4 linked regions of the Neodiprion lecontei genome follow. The protein of the gene in region 3 binds, or shares a complex with, the protein of the main gene of each other region. Links are inferred from orthologs where the notes say so. Each region holds a gene or a part of one and is shown on either strand. Other genes may lie near its edges. The genes, in order: general transcription and DNA repair factor IIH helicase subunit XPB; general transcription factor IIF subunit 2; general transcription factor IIF subunit 1; DNA-directed RNA polymerases I, II, and III subunit RPABC4.

Region 1 (7,935 bases), about 14 Mb from region 3:
AACGTCGAAATCGACCACGGCACCCCCTTAATTACCGATTGTAGCATCGTTAGATTATTTAATACTCCCAGGCGCTCGAAACGTGCCGGTCAAACTCGTACTACTTCATTTCATACGCATTTACAGACTTTTGTTTCGAGAGTTTTTGAAAATGCAGAACAAAGCACGTCCGATATTCGAAACATTGTATTCGTGTTCGTGGATTGACAATAATAACCAATTGCTTAACATATTCCTGACAATGGTGTGTCAGTGATATTTTTTTTATCAATGAATTGATTTTGACTTCAGAATAATCTTGAACTGCGTTGTATTTTCGTAGAAATTAGTTCGTTTGGTTCGGAGTTCGTAATATTTCTGGATAAGACGTATGAGTAATCAACCGAGCGTTTTTTATTCATGCTGAATAAGAATTTTATCTCCGACCGTAAAATTAGCGTCGTCTTATCTTATCAATGCGATATATTACTTAGGTGAATCAGCTTAGGTTACGAATCATGGCTAATTCTACTTTATTACTGGCTCGTTATATTACACAGGAACGACACGTATCTAAGATAAAATTGCTTACAAAAAAACTCGTCACGTTTAATCTCGTGACAAGGCGCAGTTAAATCAGATTGTATTGAAGGATACAATTACGAAAGATAATAATGAATCAATGTTAATTTGTGTAAGCTGCATCGAAATAACCTAAGACATGAATGCATGTATAAAAAATTAGATAACAAAGTATTTATCACAGATAATATAGTTCCAAATGTTCGCCTTTCAACGTTTCAAGTAATATTTATTTTGACATAGCTGCTTGTCAAAAGATTTGTATTGAATCAATAATTTGATCAGATTAAAAATAATGTAACAACGATCACTTGAACTGGATTAGGAGTTGATGTGCTATTAAAAGTCCATATTCTTTCTTTAAAATCGGTACAGCAGTTTGCTCTAAGATTTTATCCATGCAGGCAAAGGAGAAATCTATCGATGTCGAATCTGCGATATCCAACTGATATTATATGCGCGACGAATTTTTGCATTTACATTCACCTTTGAAGAGATTTAACTTATAACAACGGGGTGTGTGACCGAGAAAAGCTCAACGAGTACGAAATAATTGGTGGAAGACCCCACTGTATAATTTGCGTAAACATATCTGAAATATAAATACAAATTTAGGTTCGGAATTTTTTAAATAACGGATGCTTGTTGGCTGTCGATGATGCGGCGGACTTTTTGTATTCGTAATATACTGTGTCGTCAGCACCTGACATGGATGCCATATTTCCAGGCCTCCTCATTGCCTGTAATGAAAAATAGCGTCGATTGAAAGTGTTGCGATATATATTTATTGATTATTTTTTATAGCTGAGATTCATTATTGACGTGCAGTAAATAGTAGACCACCATATCAATAAACAACTGCATAATTATCGAGTGTTTTGGAAATATGCTCAACAGTGTATTGAGCGCTTTAGCACCTGATCTACATTGTGATTGATTACATTTTACAATTTAATGTACTAGGCGTAATTAAAATTTCTTTAAAAAATGTCGATGTTAAATCGTAACAATCATGCGGAATGTCATTCGACAATTTTCCATTTTTTACTAGTGAATAAAATTTTCGGCTCTGCTTACCAATCACTGAAGTAATAATTATAACTATACTATTTTATACTCACAGGTCTTGGCCCTTCTCCCGGAATCCTTTCCTCATCCGCATCCATGTCACTTGCTGACAATACCTGTTGTAATAGTTGACCTTGTTCCTCGCGTGTTTTATACATTAAGTCTGGTTCCTACAAGAAGACCGCATAGAATTATTTCCATCGATTGCGTAAGAAAATTACACGCATTTCATACAATACCAGCGTGCACTCTAGTATCAGTTGTGATTTAAAGTGTTTATAGAACTCGCGGAATTATAGATTATAGAAATACGGTACAGCAAAAAAATATTATACTGCTTACATGTTTCAATCTTTGCAACAATACAAGAATTCAATGAATGATTCATTCTTTATCATACTATTAGTGTGACGGGCACTGACAAGTTATTTTAAGAAGTTAAATAGTATTACGTAAGATGTTAATTTCATTTAAAATGATTTCCTCCATTTAAAGAAGAGGATGTACAATCCTAATTATAGCATGACGGCCCACACAAGAATATATCTAGTACACCAGCTATTTTGCATGCCACCTATTTTATGTGCGGTATTAATGTAACTATGAATGCTTACAGAACAAAAGCGAAAGCTGTGCATAATAACTTTGGTGTACAGGGAAGTAAATTATTCTATTTTTTGTAACAGCAAACGAATGTACATTGGTTGCCGATGCTACACTTTAAGGATAAAGAAATCATAAAGGAACGTAATCTACCTCATCCATTCCAGCGAGTTTGGTGATGACTTTATAAGCATAGCCTTGGTTGACAAGAAACCTTTGCCTCTTTCTTGAATAGTTCATTTCCATTGTATCCTGTGATACCAAGGTGTAAAAGAAAGCATTGTACTCTTCAGCAATTGCGCCTGAAACAGAAAATTATGAAGTTTAAGGTAGATTACGTAATTGTTAATTTAATGCTGACGAAATTTGTATTCAGAAGCAACTGGTGCAGTGTGTCTACCTTTTTTAGCTCGTAAAATTCTACCCAGTCTTTGAGCTTCTTGTCTCCTAGAACCTCCGTGAGAAGATATTTGTATCAAAACATTTGCTTCTGGCAAGTCGAATGATGTGTCTGCTACTTTGCTCACAAATATTGTATTCACTTTTGTGTTGAATTTGAAGTTTTGGAGGATTTGTATACGCTCACTCTGTAAAACACACAACACATCACCGATTACAAATGAAATTGACGACAAATATTTTGGGAAATCAGGTTCTTTCTTTTCTGTTCTCAAGATAAAATATAACATTCTCTGTTATTGCATAAGTCCCACGTAAATATTGCGGCAGCATTATCAAGTAACTCTACCTGACTGGTAGGACCGTAAATATAGGGTTTATTCATCTTGATTGCATAATGTTTCAGTGCGAAAACATTGTCGGAGAAAACAATTGTCTTATCACCCCTCCTTTCATGATATCGAATCAAATACTGACAGCAACGAAATTTGCTCGGATTCATAACGTAAAGCAACTGAAAGAAACAACGAGTATTACAGTTAAATACGATAATCAATCATTTGAAAAGATAGCAAAAAAATAAACGACAAAAAGACGAGTAAAAAAATTTTTACATCCTGGTTAAATGGACCTTTTGTGGAGTTATTCACATACCAGTTTCTTGCTTGTTTTACAACTCAGGTATTCTCTATAAAACTCCGGAGTCATGGGACACCAGACCTCAGCACACTGTACTCTGGCAATAAATCCTCTTTTCTGAAGCTCAAGCCAATTAGCTTCATAGAGTTTTGGACCAATTAAAAAATTCAGATCTGCAATTTTATCATCCTCTCTCAACAAGGTTGCGGTTAGTCCGAGTTTGCAGTGGGATTGAACAATGGTCAAAACTCGACGAAACATTTTCGCAGGTATTGTATGTACTTCTGCATGGTTGAAATATGTATGTAAATCAGTTGTATCAGTCATTTAAGTCAAATTTATGGGCAAAAGATATAAAACTTACCATCTAAAACCATAATACCCCATTCTTGTTCTTGCAACCATTTCATGGTCTGTTCAGCTTCCCACGACCGTTTTTGCGTATGTGTTATCATCGAGTAAGTTGTTACCAGAATACCACAACCCATTGGCTTATCCTTAGCTTCGCTTGTAAATCGACAAATCATGGAATCGTCGGCCGTCGACCACATTTTAAACTGCTGTTTCCATTGCTCAACCGATACTCCTGAATTACAAAGCACCAATGCGCGTTTCCGAACAGTACAGCAAGCCGTTACGCCAACTAAACTCTTACCAGCACCTGAATTTTAAAGTCGATTAAGACGAATATTAAAGTCGAATTGTTAGCAAGATTAGGGAATACTTTATTTTATAAAGTGCATGTTGTAGATCGTAAAAACACAATGTAAATATGATGTTTAAAGAAATTTTTATGTACCACAAGGTAGTACGATAACACCCGACCTGGCTCGTCCGTTACCAAACATCTTTCTCAAGCTCTTTTCTTGATATGGTCGCAGCACGGCTGATGGTTTCAGGTCAAAACTGAAAAACAGCAAAATCATTTGGATAAACGGATAAATGATACCATGTCACAAGACCAAATTCTGACATTATTGAAAGTACATACTTTATGTCAGGATTAACTGTATCGTTTCTGAAATCATATTCTGCAAGTAAAGGATGCTCCAATTCGATACATCTTTTTTGAATGACTTCAATTTTTTCCTGCAGATAACAATCATTGATCATTGATAGAAACAAATGTGAAATTAAATAACCAGCTGTTTATTCAATGCAAAGGTAGAATTTTCACCTGGTTGACTTCAAAGCTAACAGTTTTCAGCTGTGCTTCTTCCTCCTCATCTTCATCCTCTTTATCAATTTTATCATAAAATGTTGAGATATCTTCAGGCACTGCAACTGGTTCTGCTGACGGTTGCTCTCCATTTCCTTCAGCCGGAGCTGGTGCTGTTGTTGGGGTAGCAGTAGCTGATGTTTTTGTACCAAACTGTGGATTAAAAATAATAATATTCGCAATTGGGTGCACATTATAATAGACTAGAGAAGCATTATGTAACAGGAGTGAATTCTACCTGAGGAGCTTTTGTTTTATCTTGAACATTGGTAATGAAACCATCTTTGTCAGTCTCATCCAAGTTCCTTCTCAACCTGCATTCTTGAATGACTGGATCTTTAAGCAGTTTCTGCAACACTTCTGGAAATGGAGATTCCACAAAGTATTTGTTGTGTTTCAAGACCAATTTCACCTGTAAAGTTTCACGAAAATAGTCTGTAACAGTATGATGTACAAACAAAGGAAAACAAAATTATAAAAGATAAGAAAAAAAATGTTGAAGTTGATCAAAGTTCTTAGTATTTTCTACACTTATGCTTACCTTTCCATAAGATAACGTGCACAGTTGTATGAATTCAATGATTCCATCTGGGATGCTAGTTTTGCTCAACCGTTTTAGATATTCGATAATATCGTGGGTTTGGAGGCCCACACTCACGGCTGCATATAAGGAATAAGCAGTCAGTTTGTACTGTAAGGAAGGGTACGTAATTATTCAATTGCAGCGAGCTTGGTTTGACGAAATGTTTGGTAGTCATGAATAAAATAAAGAATCAAATTTGATATTCACCTCGTGAATATGCTCTGGTCGACAAACGGGCTCGGAAATGGCAATTAAAAAATCGTGAGCATGTTTGTATACCGGTGAAAATGATTCCAAGAATATGTGTCCATTTGGAGCCTGTAAAATTGGGATATTCTTATTATTCTTCTTTTATTTGCAGAGATCAGTTTAATTGACTAATAACAACGTACCACCCATAGTGGCCTCGACGAGTTGTCTGGCTTCAAGATCATTTGCGAGCGATAGTCTTTAGCTCCAAATTCGTCTTCAACAGCCCCTTCGTCTTGTTTTTCAATATCATTTTTAGCCGCATCAGGAATGCCTTCAGTATCACCACCATCACCGTGGTCGTCGTCGAAATATTCATCGTGATCTTCCTTACGTTTTTTCCATTTGCCCTTGTCTATATGATAAATAAATTGAGAACCGTATGAGTATGAGAAATTAAAAAATTCGAAGTGTATCTCTAAACGAACGGTGAAAAAGTGTTCAAGGGTTATGTACCATTATCTTTTTTGAATCGCTTTGGCGGGCCCATGATAGCCCCGCTTAAAAATTAGTCACAGGCAAAATGATTTGTACACTGATTCAACGCCGTCACACCTTGACACTGAAAAATCAGTCGATGTAAATCCCGGTAAATAAACTTATAACCACTACACAACTCTCACATTGCGGACTGGCAACGGTCAGCACTGTATCTGGTTTGACATAACCTCACAGCCCTCACAGGCAACCTGAAGTTTGGCTGAAGTATGACTTGAAGTGCGTTTCATGTTAAGTTAGGTCAGCTATCTCGATCAGAGCTGTCAGTTTTCTGAGCAAAACCGAGAAAAAAAACGATCTGCGCAGCATGTTGTAACCGTGGTTGTAACTTGAAAAAGCGAATTGCAATAGTCGTAATATGCATTATTATAAGGGACGAGCGATTGAATGATCACTAAACACGTTACAATTGACAACTAATGAAACTTGATCTTACTAAGAAAGTAAAATTAAAAGCCAGATAATTATAATTACATATTTATACTTCGGTTTAAAATTCTCTCCGATACGCGATCAATGAATGATGAGAACCAGGTGTTACAGCACGATTATCGAAAGTGTAAGTCAAAATTCGGTGTTATATTCGCCAAGAGAACAGGATTGTTGTTCAAGTCGGTTTTAAAGTATACCTCGAATATCAAAATATTTACTAATTGAAAGGAAAAAATCGCGCGTTATTTGTTGATCGTACATGGACTGCCGTAATCCTGTTGCGTCCGTGTGGACATGCATTAAAGTCGGCCTGTTTACACCACGGACTATCCACGTGGTCGAGTTTTTGCTGAAACGATCTAGATACACTGTTTATTCGGCTCTCCTGTAATCAATCAACGGTTTTGGTAACCAAAACTTGGCACCCAGGCAAGTTTAAGGCTTGCGCATCGAGTACGGCGCATAGATTGCGCTCATCGCTAAGAACGCACGAATTACGTTATTCGCGCGAATAATTTTACGCATGATTATTGGCAACCGGCAATGACAGAAGAAAATAAAATACCGTAGTTCACCTGTTTTAGAATTGAATGACATCCGCAGCTTGCTTCAGTGCGAATATCGTGACAGTAACAATCTTATAATCGTAGAACACAATCATACGGTGCCTGGGCGAAGCGCGCATGCCGGCGGCGCAAAAGTTCACAGCGCAGGTCTGATGTAGCAGAGAGCATATTGCTGCAGAGCCGCAAACAAGGAAGGATTCTCCGGTAGTCCATAAACCATTTTTCTGTCGTCAAACGGATCAAGCTTTTTGTGAGACTTGGATCGGTCACAAAAAGCGGGATTCGCTTTTCGCATAGGAATTGGCGAGCCGCAGAAGTCAGGATATCTGTACTTTGCTGGGTGGTTAATTGTGAGTATAAGCCTCATAACACCGTCGAACCTCTTCGCGATCCACGCATATCTACGAGTGGCAGCCTCGAGCTAGCTTCGCTCGATGTCACGATGCGTGTCTGTGGGCGTTAGATCTTTATTTCATTCCTTCTACAACTTCTACTACCCTCAAGATCTAACCTTTCTTCATCCATCCATCCTCCAATCGTCCCTCATCGTCGCACCGGTCTGTCCTTACTTACCAATTTAAGATTCAATCGATGAAAATTTTATAACAAACATGGCCGTCCGCCGGTGTCTTATTACCTGCTTACACCTCTGAATAACAAAGGTCTACGGACGTATTTTTGTCCCGCGTTTCATTCGGATCAAGGACCGGCAAGTGCCTGATGGGCTCAACGCGTCATCGTAGAACCCAGCGTACTTTCTGTCCTTCACCTCACTTACCGCGTGTTTGTTTCGGACGAACCAGTCTAGTTATGTGACGACGATCTCCTATTTTCGCAATACAACAAGCGTGCTCTTCGACGACTTGTCACTTCACAAAAATACAGCATGATATCTACGGCTATTCGCCGCAGGATTTTTCATCCACAATTTGTGTCAAATTTACAAAAGTATTTGTGGAACTCCTTTCGGGACGTGTAAATTTTTTACAACGAAAGTGTCGAAGGATTGATCTTAAGGTTGATAAGTATTCAGATACGGCAGGTTTTAGAGTTCGGTAAACCGCAATATTTGAACCGGTATGTGGAGTGATTATTTCTAAACTCTAATCTTATCGGTA
Region 2 (5,331 bases), on a different chromosome or scaffold from region 3:
CCGAGCATATTTACAGCTTGCAAAAAACTCTCCCTGAGATAGAGCTACTCGCCATTACTGACAAAGGCGATTCTCAATTGAGCGCTGTCCACTCTTCTCAGTCTGTTCTCAGGTCTGATCATGAGATGGAAGTTCTTCGTTGGGGTAGCGCCTTGTTAGCGAATAAACAGATGAAAAACAATACTCAGATTACAGCTCCGAAAGTTCGGGCAAATGCGAATACCGAGTCGAAGCTTACTGATCAGGCCAAGAATGTCAAGGAGTCCGGTGCTAAATCGACCACAAATAAAACAGCAGCGGCTAATTCGAGTGCAAAAACACAGAAAACTGCCTTCAACAATTTTTTTGCTAAGGCCATAGATAAGCAAAGCAAGGAGAAGACATCTGTGAAAGGTGTGAAGAGTAAACCTGTTGCGTCAAGCAGTAGTTTGACAACTACTTCACCCCATAAGAATAACTGGTTCGAGGAGAAGAAGAAACCTATTAGTTCGGACAACAAGGAGGCAAAAGAAAATCCGGAGAATATTAGCGATTCAAAAAAGCCTAAACTTAATGAAGACAAAGAAAAATCTCCGAAAACTAATTTACCGAAAAAGAATGCATGGTTTGAAGCAAAGAAAAAGCCTCCAAGTACCAGCGACAAGGAAGCAAAAGTACAGGTGGAGAGTTGCAGCGATTCGAAAAAGGCCAACGTAGAAAAGTTTGAAGAAAAATCACCACAGACTGAAAAAGTTAGCAAACAAGAATCGGCGGTGAAAAATCTCAGCTCTGGGAAAACTGGCGATAAAAAAAAAGTAGCATCTTCTTCACGAGGAAAAAAACGCAAGACTTCTTCAAAGGGCGAGAATACTAATAAGAAACGAAAACGTATAGTTGTGATATCTAGTGACGAATCAAGTGATGACAGCGAGACTAGGGATGATATTGAGGAACCTGATAGTTCTGAAGAACCACCGCAAGTTGTTGAAAGAGTTAAAAGTTCTCCTTCGCCACCTCTGGTCAAGTGTGAAGGCGGGAGGCGCAAAGTTCGGAAATTGGTCGATAAAACGTTTGTCGATGAAGATGGGTATTTTGTCACTCAAAAAGAATACGTTTACGAAAGTTGTTCAGATAAGGAAGAGGAAATGCCGGTAGAGGCTGCAAAACCTTCTACCGCTGATGTTGCAGCAAAGACTGCTAACAAGCGGAAGCAAGTATCGCTGCTTAATTTCTTCAAGAAGTCGTAGTTAACTAATACGTGGAAAATGTAACTGTAATGATGAATTAAAATATTCGTTGAATATATGCAAGTCATAGACGTGAACTATACTGTACATTACTGAATTTCAGCGGGAAAATATGAAATTACTCGCAATAAAGATAGAATATTTTTGATTCGTATTAAGGAAAGGAATAAGGAATTAGCGATGCTTTCTTTACAATCAAATTATGGAAAGTTATAAATTTTACGTCTATTATATTTGTTTCTGTCGTAATCTTTTTTTTCCTGTTACCTGATCAAACCCCTTTTTTTTTTTCTTTCTTCTTTTTCACGAATCCAGAACGTAGAAGTTGTGCAATCACAAGAACTGTACATACCGAAGAACAAATCTGTTATTTTTGTTAATAAATGCGCATGATATGTTTAGGTAGGGGTTTACAATAATACCGCGATATTTGAATACGTGTAAAAGCCCGGCGTTGACTCTTCTGGTAAGCCGTTCTCACTGCTGCCAAATATAATAACTAAATTTCCCCAGAATTTCGTAAAAGGTAGTCCTTTCAATTTTTACAACAGACTATCAGAAGCAAGTGTTTCTGTTGTATGTACAATTTATTTTACCTCTATTTAAACAGTTATTTACAGAAGATAAGTATAACGGAGTATTACCCTTCATTTCGCCTCGTTAAATACTGAAAGTCTATAATTATTGAGGCCATTTGCAACAAGGTAAGCAGTGCCAATATTGAAATCTGGCCACTTTAATAGTCAGTTTGGTTAGGTTTGAGATAGTTAATGTTTGTATCCAATATGCAATAAGTAATTAGGTTAAAGGTGACAGAAACTAGCGTTCGACCCATAATTGCCAGGATGAATGCGAGAATGGAAACTGAAATATTTTATTTTCAGGTATCATGTCTGCACCGCCTCCTCACACAGACCGAGAATTAGATTTGAGTAATGCAGGACGAGGAGTATGGTTGGTTAAGGTTCCTAAATATATTGCGAACAAGTGGGAAAAGGCTTCCGGAGATATAGAAGTTGGCAAGCTGAAAATCACAAAGTTTGTTAAAAATGTTAAATTAACCGAAGATCGTTTACGATTGTAGAAATGACAATCATTCCATCGCTCCACACCCTCCCCTTGATCATGAGGGTTGTTTTATCCGCAGAAATCCAGGGGCCAAAGCAGAAGTTTCTCTAAGACTTTCGGAAGCTGTTTTAGCTCTGAAGGAACGAGAGGAAGAGGAAATTCCAAAGGCACACCGGCTGGATGTAACTACTGTCACTCGTCAAATGCTGGGTGTATTTTCTCATGTCACACGTGAGTGTGAACAATTTTTGTGGCTGTATGCTTTTCTTTCAAAATCACTAAAACCATTAGCTAGTCTATTATTACTTTGATCCTAGAATTGCTCAAAGTACGAATTAATAAATTAGGACAATGCAGCATGCATTCTCTGGCTTGAATCTATGCATCTACTAAATTGTCTATTCCAATGATTTTTACAGCTGCTAGCACTTCGGATGCTATTGTTCCAGAGACTGAAAAACTTTACATGGAGGGTAGAATAGTGCAGAAACTTGAATGCCGCCCTTACGGTAAGTATGGGTGATTCAGAATCGTTGAACCTTGACTTTAGTGGCAAATTTTCAGAAAAGTTCAATAGATTGAAATATTCTTCCAATCTTCGACTGCGTTGTTAATTTAAATTCGAAATTACATTTTTAGCTGACAACTGCTACATGAAGCTTAAGTTGGAAAGCATAAAACGAGCATCGGTGCCTCAGAGGCAAGTTCAACAATTGGATAGGGTTGTACAGAATTTCAAACCTGTATCTGATCACAAACACAACGTAAGTTATGAATGTAATTGTTGAAGAATTTTACCGTGTTTTCTGTTTGTCTTTATTTGGAGATTTTATCTGCATTATTTTTACAGATCGAATATGCCGAAAAGAAGAAGGCTGAAGGCAAGAAGATGAGAGATGACAAAGACGCGGTATTAGAGATGCTATTTGCAGCATTTGAGAAACATCAGTACTACAATATTCGAGACCTTGCCAAAATCACCAGGCAGCCTATCGTAAGTTATGCCACAATCTTATAAAATTTTTTTGCAGACATATACGATTTTTCTGAGAATTGGGGAATTACACTTTTGCAATGATTCATGAAAAAATTGATTTACAGGTTTACTTGAAAGAAATTTTGAATGAAGTGTGCAATTACAACTTGAAGAACCCGCACAGAAATATGTGGGAATTGAAACCTGAGTATCGTCATTACAAGGATGATCAGAAGCCAGCGGCAACTGCCACAAAAGTTGATGACTCAGACGATGATTAGTACTTTGTTTTATATACTTTTTTAGAATGTTTGGACGATTTGCTGCCTGTGATTTGCTAGTTCAGATCTTGATTTACTGAGTTCACTGATTACAATCGATCAACTCATAGATCGATGCAATTTCTTAAATGGAAATTTATTTGATTCGTAAAGGCGTTCCAGGAATAGCTTCGGTGAATTTAAGCAGAGTTTGTGAGATAGTAAAGTGATAAATCGCGTCCCCATGGAATAATTCTTCTATATCGACGCCAGGCAAAGAGAGAAAATAAAAGACTTTCTCTTGTCATAGGATCCAAATAATAGGGAAATTTGCGGAAATCCGCATTGGATGATTTGTAAATAGTGATATATTGTATTTATTTTTACATCAATCGTTTAGATGCGAAGAGAGAAGTTGAAGAAGCAAAGACTTTATCTCAGATGTAGATTTGTTCATATTGTTACTCGACATAAGTTTCATACGGAAATATTAAAGAGAATCTACAAATATAATGGTGCGTAGGAGTAAAAAATATATCAAAGCATAATGAAACGGTAATGCACTTTAAAAAAAATTACATTACAGTATATTTAAACATATATATATAAGATACAATTACACCAGCCATCATGCTCTGATTTATAGAAATCAAATCAAGGCTTCTGCTCATCCCAAAGCATAGGGAGACTGTCTGGCTGTCTCAAGAGTAAAGCTGCCTCTGGCACTGCAAAAATAATGTTAATCGCTCATTAGTTCCGAAGCTGTAATGGCAAAGCTCCAAAGTTTTTTTCTCTTTATTGTAACTGGTTTGATACTAATAATTCTCGGTGGACATACACAAGTATCTCCGCAGCTGTTTTCTGTACTAAACAAAGTTTTTCTACTCGTACTTACAATTTGTTAAAAACTCTACCACCCATGTACACTTCGTTGTGTCGGTCAAGTGCTTCCAGGTACATTGAACGTGTTCCTGTGGCACGGAAACCGGTCGGGTTCCTGATAGATTCTGCGAAGAAGTAATAGGCGCGGGAATGGGCGCAGCTCCCTGTAAAGGATAATGTGTTAGAGTGCTGCGATATGCGCAATGACAAACTCTCAACTTGTGCGAAACTTACCGACAAGGTCCAGTCCGCATCCAGGCTGACTGCTACCGCCGTTGGGGTAAAAATCGGTATCACCAATGGCATCCATGATGCCGAGAAGTCCTCCATTTGTGTGGATTATCTGAACATGGTCAGCGTCAGTTTGGTGAATTCGGGATCCAGCTCCAGCAGAGTTAAAAAGAGGAAGCGCTGGGTCGAGACCTGTGAAAATATTCGTGCAATGATGAAAAACGATTCCTTGTGTAAAGAAGACCGGATTTTCGAACGAGTTAAAGAATCTCATCTGCCTTTTACTCACCTATGACAGCGTCGATTGTGCCCTCAGCGTTGCGGGCAGCAATTCCAGACACGTGAGCACCTAGAGAGTGTCCAACGAGTTTCGTCGATGCTACGTTGAGGCCGGCGTTGGCGCTGAGGAAGTTGATCATCAGACTAACTCTGGCGGCAACACCTCTGACGCTTGATGAAGCACTCACGTAAAGAGCACCAGCAATGGAACTCCAATCGATCACAATCACGTTGTAGTCGCCTTCAGCTAGGTAGGCTGAGGATAAAAACGAGGAGATATGAACACAAATATGAACACAGGACTCAACGATGTGAAGTCAAATTACGTCTTAGAAAAAACAATTTTCCTGTAATTCTTACAACCGGTGTGAACTTAGCATCCCCATCATCTCTATGTCAAAAACATGCT
Region 3 (4,896 bases):
AATTGACCATACCAACATCATCTGTAATTGCGTTCAAGCCAGTGAAAGAAAAGATTAATGTTGAAACAGTGTAGTAATTAAAACTCGAAGTCTACTTCTGAATAAAGTACATAAAGTAATCTATTAGCACGATTATGCAAGAGTTATTGCATCTCACCTAAATGAGTAGTTGTCTGAAGAAAAACAAAGTCTTTTATGAGATCTATGAATCAAGTATGTTGGCTGGAGAAGTTGAAATTCATGAGTAATATTGCAATATTCTGCTATTTGAAACTGAATTTACATAATCATCTCATATAACAAGTTGTAGAATTACTTTCACGCCTGCCTGCTCAGGCCCAAAACTTATCACGCAGCTCCTTCCAAAATTTGCAGTTCTCTGTAATTCTTCAGTCAACGTATCAATGAAGAACTATCAAATGTAAGTAAACTAACCCTTAGCTTTTTTTTTCTTTTTTTTATCATCCTCTTCTTCTTCAGAATTCTTTTTCTCCTTGTCTTCGTCAGAACTCGAATCATCATCGTCACTATCCATCCATTCATCCATTTCTGATATTTTTAATTCCTTTTCTTTTTTACCAAGTTTTTTTCCTTTACCACCTTCAGATAATTCTGGATCATCTTCGGCGCCTTCGTCGTCGTTTCGCATTCTCTTTCGCATCATTAATGAAAAGTAATTCATGACTCTATTCCGCCTACTAAACTCTTGCTCAGCTTCTTCAGCACTCAAAGCTTTATATCTTTGTATTGGCTGGAAATTATACCTATAATTTGAATGAACTAATTTTTCTCACGAAATTGAACAAAAATTGAGATGTAACAGTAAAAATTTTTTTCACCTAGTTTAGTGCTTCTGCAACTAATACCATATGCACAATTACCAAGTTTTTAACGTCTATCATGGTAAACGTAATATTTATAATCGAGAATATTTATTCACTAGTTACATATAGTAAGGACACCGAAATAATGTTGATGGTATCAGAGACAGCAAATAGCTGATAATTTGTGTCGTTAACAACCATTATTAATTTCCTTAGAAATAATCTTCATAGAAGAAAAATACCTCTTGCATTGATAATGTTATTGAGACACTCTCTTGTAACGATATTGCTAAACACTAGCTGCTAGCTTGAGTGAAAATGCTTTTGTTTAGTCTCTAAGGTCTAAATTTTTTATACAGTAGGTTGAAAATTTCACTGAAAAACTAAGAATAAGCTATCAATTTTTTTACGAATTTATGTACTTTGTGAACTTACCATTCATGCAAAGGAAATGCTTCAATGGCACCATCGGGTGCATGAGTGAAAACATAGTATGCTGCATTCTCACTGACTCCACCTTCTCGAATTCCTTTGAACTTCTTCCCTGTTTTACCTCCTGATTTAAGAATCCAAGGCTGATCTTCTGGTTTGTATTTTCTACTTGTTATTCCAAACTTTTTTCGCCTTGCTTCTTCTCTTGCGTCGCGACCAAACTCGGATCCTGCTCCAAACTTTGGCATCTCCTCATCCATTCCTTTATACTCTTTCATGTTATTTTCACGCTCCATCTTGACTTGCGACCATTTTGAAAAGTCAACATTGAGTGTTGCATTAAATCGCATGACATTGTGCTTTTTTTTACTGTTCCTGTGGCAAAAAGGATCGAAATACTGATTAATACAAATCTGTAATAGGATCTTTCATGATGGTATGGGGTACATACTTCTAATGTAGCAAAATGTAAGGTACAAAATTGTGTAACACAAAGTTCACAATATTGGAACATTAAGTATTCGTTTATTCTAAATTTGATAATGTAAAATCAGTCACAGACTGAAGTCAAAATTAGAGTATAATTAATGTCACTCAGGCAAACTTAGTAAAGGAAACAATAGACTTACTTTGGAACTCTGATGCTATATTCTTGTACCGAAGGTACTGCGCCAGGCTGGACACGAAGGATCAAAGAGTATTAGTAAAATGATCAAGTACTGCACATATTACAAAATTAAAATTCATAAATCCAACATTTTTTAAATTTATGGTATATGTACTGATCCTTGGATTGATTCAAACACATTCCAGGCCACCAAGGTAGACTATTATTACTTGTTTAACGTGCAAAACAAACTCTAATGCACATTTTTTCACCTACATACATGCAAGAACCGCGATGCAGGCTATAAGACTGTGCCGCTTCATAGAGACAAAATACGGCTCATGAACGCAAAGAAAATAAACAAGACGGGGTAAATAAATAAGGCAGAATTAATAGGCAAGGAGTTGCAATGCGACAATGAATAGAATACAAAATAAAACAGGAACTTATTCCTCCATGGGAATACATCCCTGAGGTGATATTACGGAAAGTAATTTTAAAGAATTAATATATTTCTAAAATCAAATGTATCAGAAGGGAGATGTCGGGATGACTACAGCTGCGAAGCCAGACACTGGGAAAAATGAACGCACGGCTTGTAATAACTGTCATGAAAAATAACTCGAATCCATTTCAACAGTGGACTGAAATGTTTCAGAATTAATCTAAGGGTCTGTATATGGCAATCAGTACAAAACCAAACATATGAAGTATATGATTACCATGACTACATACCTATAATTATAATTGTGGAGTAACTTACGAAATTCTAAATATTATTATACAATTACGAAATTCTGTTGTCGAATTACTTCTAGCGCGAACAACATTCCATTAGCCTTACATTTCAGTATAACTGTACCAAATATCGCTAAATATATTGCAGTGGTTATGCATACCATATATTATCTTACAATATTAGTACATTGGGTACTGAAATTCATACGATAGTAATTCTAAGAAAAACTTATTGTGATTTCAAATTAATGTTGCGTAAAGATTGTAATGGTAATGAATACCTTCGTCACAGCTGTTGAACTCATTGTTGATTAGTAAGATCGTGAAATAAGTGATTACCAGACCGCATAGTCAAGTCATTCCACTACAGAGCGTACAGAAGGAGGGATATCCTGGAGTTACAAGAAGTGAGCCGATTTTGGCTGCAATTAGTGGTGGCGCTGTGAAACATAAGTTGCCCAACTGACTATAATTTAAGATACAATGAGTGTAACTGTGTAACTAAACATTCAATTTCATCACTCAACTTGGTATCAATCAGTGCTGCGTCGGTTATTTTATGTACCCTTATTTGCATCCAGACTTTGACCATGTTTTGAAAATTATATGCTCTAAGCCTTACTACGACGTCATGGCACTCCACGACGATTTCCAGATGCTAGACACTAGATTCAAACGCGCAAGTATGTACAGCTAGACGCACAGTCAATAATTCTGACTTCTGGGTGATCATGTACCAATTAAGCATCAAAATGCAATGGATCGTGGACATTCAATTGCGCTTTTCGGATTAAACCGGAAAAAGGAAATATTAAGGGTTAAGGTGCCGTTGTCTTCTCTTGTGAATATACATTTCGTGACGTCATAAGCACTTACCACGCTTTTGGAAGTTCAGCGTTAAGCTAAGCTCATTAATTTCATTGGCCTGTTCCGTTAGACCCGACCAATAATGATAATTTCTATGTTATTGTAAACTTGCGGACAATGAATCTGAGACAGCTAATTTTTGACACCAAAAAGTTATGCTGGCAACACAGAAAAACCTACAACGCCATAGTGGGCCGAGCGCGAAACAAACTGAATCTCAATGAACATAACTTAACCCATGACCGTCGAATCTAACCCTAGAATACCGCGGGGATAATGATTTATTGGATTGACACCATAGACTTATAAAAGATAGACTGAGCGCTCTTATGAGTCGCTTGAAGCAAAAATTTAAAGGACAGAAATATACCGGGAGTACTCCTTTCTCTCTCTGACGATATTTGTGGCGGGGATCGAGGCGGTAGAGGAGAATGAAGCGAAATTATGCGCCTATATCTATAGCTGTTCCACTTCCACTACGCCCTTGTCTCCCGGTATGAAACCGATTGAAAAGAGAGAGTAGTACTCCCGACATATCTCTATCCTTTATATGAAGGCTTCAGTACCTCATATAGGAGCGCTCAGTCTATCTTTATAAGTCTATGACAGCCCCCTGACACACGCTGCTAAAAGTGGTTCGCAAAATGTCCCTTGATTCTGCGGCCAATTTCCACCACTAGTGACGCTAGTAGTTACCTGACGAGCTTGCGCGCGGTCAGCGAGGGCAGCGAGCGTTTGAGAAGTCTACTAGCGCCACGTAGAGGACCTAAAAAACGGGGACAAGACGCGTACAATTTTTTAGTATACGAACAGTGGTGAGTGTGACGTCGGAACAGTACCTAGTGGAAATCTCCAGATGTTAGACACCGGAAACATTCACACGCAGCTACAGCTAGGCTCACATCAGTAGTTTGGGTCACCAATTACCGATTAAGTATTGAAATACACCCGACAACGGGCATTCTGTCGCTCTAGTCGAACGAACCGAAGAGGGAGAAATTGTTGGATAAAAGATTTAATTTGGCTTACCTTTTTGAGAGTATTCTGGATGCGATGACTTGTAGATTGGTGAGAGGTTTTAGCGGAATAACTGACTTTAATATTTGGATACTTTGACTAACTTGGTTTATTTTATAAGTTTGATATTTAGAAGTCACAAACGCAGAGTTACACAGTGTAAGATCTTAAACTTAGTATGACAAAATGGAGTTGAAGCTCGCTGAACTTTTGGGCAGAGTAACGTTGTATGAAAGTTTTAATGCAAAAGGCTAAAGGATTTTACCGCGAGACTGTACCGGAACTAGATCACGAATCTGGAGGTAGAAACCGAGAGAGCGATCGAGTGATCGGTCGCCCTTTTTATAGGGGTCGATCGTTGCGCAGAACGATCCCCCTCTCTAGTTTTTTGGTCACCTTTGCGCACCTCCC
Region 4 (3,389 bases), on a different chromosome or scaffold from region 3:
ACGGTAAACAAACACGCCGGGTCGCCCCTCTTCAATCGACGATCTGCCAGCCGCAGCTTCTGTATCCAATAGTCTTATTCTCTCCACGAGACACAATCGAGTAAATAAACGGCACTGATCGGTCACGGCAATGAAACTACATGAAGAAAAGACACACACACAAGAGTCACGGTACGCGGAGATAAATAGTAACAACAAACACACGTGGGTTTTACAATATTTTGACTTGAATGGATATGTATTTGAGCGAGAAACTTTTGACACGCACCTTATTCATTCACGTTCATCGGATGTAACGAAAACCTGCATCACCACACAACATGAGACACACAAAAACCACTTGATCGGATGCACGATCACGAGTAAATGACCAAAGGAGCGCGAATAATATCCTCTATTTTCACTGCGCGAACGTACCGACTTAACCAATTCTTTGAAGAATAGATAGAAACGATAACAGTCACAGGACCGCGCGACACAACAAAACACCGGGAACTAAACGTAACGCGCACGCCGACCGCTCGACACGCTGCGTGCTGCTGCTGTTACTGGCTGCTGCTCCGTGGGCAGCCGGTCCTGCTCGGAGACTGTGGAGATACTCGACTAGTTGAGTCCTTTCAAAACTGTTTATCCGTTGCCCTACCGAGGGCCGACCGCCGGATCTCAGCCAATCGGGTGCGAGGACGCCGTCTGGCGGTGCAGCTGCTCTCCCGCCGGTTCAGCCGAACCGAATCCCATTGGCGGCGAGATTTGTTTTCTGTTATTGGATTCTTTTTCCTTTTCTGGTGTAACGCGTCTTCTTCTTCTCCTCTCGTTTGCACGCCTACGCTTATATTATCGCTATCGCAGGCTGAGAACAACACCGTGTCCCGCCAACACGCACGCTGTGATGGCACACTTCCTCGCTGCTCCGCGATTCGATCACTACTCTTTCTCTTTCTCTAAACCGCGCGAGATCCTGACAAGGAGGCGGGACGGCAGGGACGCCCGCCAGCGAGAGCCGCGGTATACTAGGCGGGAAAGGCGGGAACGCATCGCACGGTTGCCAACCCTGCAAATTCGACATGTCTGTCTTCGCGGTCAATCGTTCTCCAGAGATTTTCATTACGAATTCATTAAGGTTCGTTTTACCTGACGGAAAATGATAGAAAAATGGAGTACCATCTATATATATTTCGGATTTTTTGTTACTGTTCGATACTAAGTATTTCAATTGTCAAGCTGAATTATATCTTCAACATGATGTCGAGAATACCAAATCACCGAAAAACCTTTGCGAAGGATGCGACTTGACCAATTAATCAAACTGCATCGCCAAACTTTGAGGATAAGTGCTTGAAAAGCTTACTCTAACCTGCTGTCGGTTAGATTGATATCTAGGATAGGCAAATTACCAGATCTATAAAAATATCGAGGATATTGTATGAAAACAGTTCTCAACTACCCTCATTCAATTAATTCATACTTCCATGCTAATGTGGGTATTATTACCCAAAAACATGTTTATTGCAACAACCACTCGATCGGTAAGTGTCGGATGTGTCTTCGCTATTGTCTCACGCCATGCAATGCAATTGTGCGCGCCGATTTTAGCGCTTCTTGTGCATCGTGGATTGTCGGGGAACTAACCAGGTATAATATCGACATTACATTAGGTTAAGTAAGGTTACTTTAACACTTTTAAGCGTTCTAAACACAACGATTTTCGGAGACGAGCAGAAGGATCCGTAAGAAACGCATAAATATTGGCTTAATTATCTTGATTACCTCGTGATATGGACACTAGCAGTAAAGCGGAATCTGCGCCTAAGCAAGCTATGGTTTACATCTGCGGAGGTGAGCGATACTTTGCCTCAAACTTGGATCATCGAGGTTATGTTATGCATAGCTTTGTTTACCGATACGGCTACACGTGGGTCTGAATAAGAGTTTTTTTTTTAAGAACAAAAGTTATTGTAGCATCTTGTTTCAACTTCACAAGTAATCAATACAATCGCAACCTTAAACTTACTTGACACATGATTAAACATCACACAACGATCAAGCATCCTGTCTGTTTGGTTATTTATCAGTTTTCTCTGTTGTATCTTCTCTGGCTTATTCTTCTTTTCATTATTGTTTTACATCTCGTTTTCAGAATGTCACCACGACAACGAGATCCGTCCTAGAGATCCGATACGTTGCCGAGAATGTGGGTACAGGATAATGTACAAGAAACGCACCAAGCGACGTATCCTTTTCTATTGTTGTCTGCCTCACCAATTGTTTAATCAACTTATTGAACTTTGGCCTTCTTCTGTCAGATCAAAAAAAAATAGTTTACTATGAGTCCAATTTGGCATCACTTCGATTGAAAGATCAGCACTGATAGCAGCAGAGTTTTTTGACTTTCTTGGTTTTAAACTTCATCCACGTAAATGTTTTAACGCAACAACCTATAACACTAGGTTGCTTTCCGCTGAAATTCAACGCTATCTTTTCACTGACGAGTTCAGGGACTTTTCACATGTTTTCAAATTATTGTTACGATTAATAAATTCCCATACTACAACATCATTGTTCGATATCTTGCCAGCTGATGATTTCACCACTGACCTTATAAAATCAAAAATAAACTCACTACAAAAATTTGGAAAACACATCTCCTTTACATTCCTTAACACAATAATAATAAACAGTCGTCGTCTTCGATGCTCGATAGATGTGTTGTGACCAGCCACAAAACCCTGTACAAATTCTTAACAATAATGGAATTCTATGAAGATGATCATCGCGCCTCAATTTATTATATGTAATTACACTGCGATGAATTAATATTTGACCATTTTTTCTTGTATGTGAAATAAATGACATATATGTCAAAGAAATATATTTTAGCTTATTTAATACATCAAATTTTCTTACTTCTAAGCAACACAATTGAATACGTTTTTTACTTTGGTTGTAAATGAATTTAAAACTCGTTTGTCTTTTTTTCTTTTTATTTCTTTTAATTTCATTATTTTCATTTTTTTAGGCAATATACTTTCTTCATTTACAATAAATAAATTACACTTTTTTTTCATCTTTTTTTTCCTTTTTTGCATCAATAAAGTATATAAGAGTTCGTTAACAGATTTTTTGTTTAATTTACGCTGAATTACGGAAGAGGTTAGGTACAGAGAAGAAGGTAAAGGTGGAAGAGCAACGGAGCTTGTGAACAATCGGGAGCCTATGCGAATACATGTATAATTTTAATAATTGATAAAAGTTGGATTCTACCTATTTTAACTACGTATTATTTTATACATCTAGCTAATACCTATGTATGTATGTATAATGTTTATAAAATCCTACACTCCGGTCCCTCGATCTGATATCAACAGGCAAAAGCCATCATTTGGTTCCAA

What was found.
Region 1: general transcription factor IIF subunit 1 (region 3) and general transcription and DNA repair factor IIH helicase subunit XPB share a complex: the UniProt entries of both Homo sapiens proteins name them as parts of the TBP-based Pol II pre-initiation complex. The link is inferred for Neodiprion lecontei from reciprocal best matches to the Homo sapiens genes GTF2F1 and ERCC3.
Region 2: general transcription factor IIF subunit 1 (region 3) and general transcription factor IIF subunit 2 share a complex: the UniProt entries of both Homo sapiens proteins name them as parts of the TBP-based Pol II pre-initiation complex. The link is inferred for Neodiprion lecontei from reciprocal best matches to the Homo sapiens genes GTF2F1 and GTF2F2.
Region 4: general transcription factor IIF subunit 1 (region 3) and DNA-directed RNA polymerases I, II, and III subunit RPABC4 share a complex: the UniProt entries of both Homo sapiens proteins name them as parts of the TBP-based Pol II pre-initiation complex. The link is inferred for Neodiprion lecontei from reciprocal best matches to the Homo sapiens genes GTF2F1 and POLR2K.

What each region holds. Positions count from the first base shown.
Region 1 is NC_060261.1:39,600,634-39,608,568, reverse strand, and holds general transcription and DNA repair factor IIH helicase subunit XPB, read right to left. Parts: upstream 6,038-7,935; 5' UTR 5,812-6,037; coding exon 5,778-5,811; intron 5,677-5,777; coding exon 5,465-5,676; intron 5,391-5,464; coding exon 5,280-5,390; intron 5,181-5,279; coding exon 5,031-5,180; intron 4,902-5,030; coding exon 4,728-4,901; intron 4,643-4,727; coding exon 4,448-4,642; intron 4,360-4,447; coding exon 4,262-4,359; intron 4,177-4,261; coding exon 4,070-4,176; intron 3,932-4,069; coding exon 3,635-3,931; intron 3,555-3,634; coding exon 3,286-3,554; intron 3,146-3,285; coding exon 2,981-3,145; intron 2,820-2,980; coding exon 2,633-2,819; intron 2,535-2,632; coding exon 2,386-2,534; intron 1,800-2,385; coding exon 1,683-1,799; intron 1,302-1,682; coding exon 1,173-1,301; 3' UTR 499-1,172; downstream 1-498. UniProt on the Homo sapiens protein: ATP-dependent 3'-5' DNA helicase/translocase. Binds dsDNA rather than ssDNA, unzipping it in a translocase rather than classical helicase activity. Component of the general transcription and DNA repair factor IIH (TFIIH) core complex.
Region 2 is NC_060262.1:4,432,727-4,438,057, reverse strand, and holds general transcription factor IIF subunit 2, read left to right. Parts: upstream 1-1,752; 5' UTR 1,753-1,930; intron 1,931-1,976; exon of another isoform or gene 1,977-2,035; intron 2,036-2,110; 5' UTR 2,111-2,115; coding exon 2,116-2,264; intron 2,265-2,373; coding exon 2,374-2,525; intron 2,526-2,713; coding exon 2,714-2,803; intron 2,804-2,933; coding exon 2,934-3,058; intron 3,059-3,144; coding exon 3,145-3,288; intron 3,289-3,395; coding exon 3,396-3,551; 3' UTR 3,552-4,197; coding exon of another isoform or gene 4,198-4,255; 3' UTR 4,256-4,425; coding exon of another isoform or gene 4,426-4,576; 3' UTR 4,577-4,646; downstream 4,647-5,331. Other genes in the region: DNA polymerase delta subunit 3, read left to right, coding at 1-1,226; phospholipase A1 VesT1.02, read right to left, coding at 4,198-4,255, 4,426-4,576, 4,647-4,835, 4,933-5,178. UniProt on the Homo sapiens protein: TFIIF is a general transcription initiation factor that binds to RNA polymerase II and helps to recruit it to the initiation complex in collaboration with TFIIB.
Region 3 is NC_060261.1:26,083,787-26,088,682, forward strand, and holds the start of general transcription factor IIF subunit 1, read right to left. Parts: upstream 3,034-4,896; 5' UTR 2,907-3,033; coding exon 2,883-2,906; intron 2,869-2,882; exon of another isoform or gene 2,766-2,868; coding exon of another isoform or gene 2,763-2,765; intron 2,717-2,762; exon of another isoform or gene 2,599-2,716; intron 1,933-2,598; coding exon 1,886-1,932; intron 1,632-1,885; coding exon 1,260-1,631; intron 765-1,259; coding exon 436-764; intron 1-435. UniProt on the Homo sapiens protein: TFIIF is a general transcription initiation factor that binds to RNA polymerase II and helps to recruit it to the initiation complex in collaboration with TFIIB. It promotes transcription elongation.
Region 4 is NC_060264.1:19,860,976-19,864,364, reverse strand, and holds DNA-directed RNA polymerases I, II, and III subunit RPABC4, read left to right. Parts: upstream 1-1,630; 5' UTR 1,631-1,775; coding exon 1,776-1,836; intron 1,837-2,137; coding exon 2,138-2,230; intron 2,231-2,678; coding exon 2,679-2,701; 3' UTR 2,702-2,867; downstream 2,868-3,389. UniProt on the Homo sapiens protein: DNA-dependent RNA polymerase catalyzes the transcription of DNA into RNA using the four ribonucleoside triphosphates as substrates.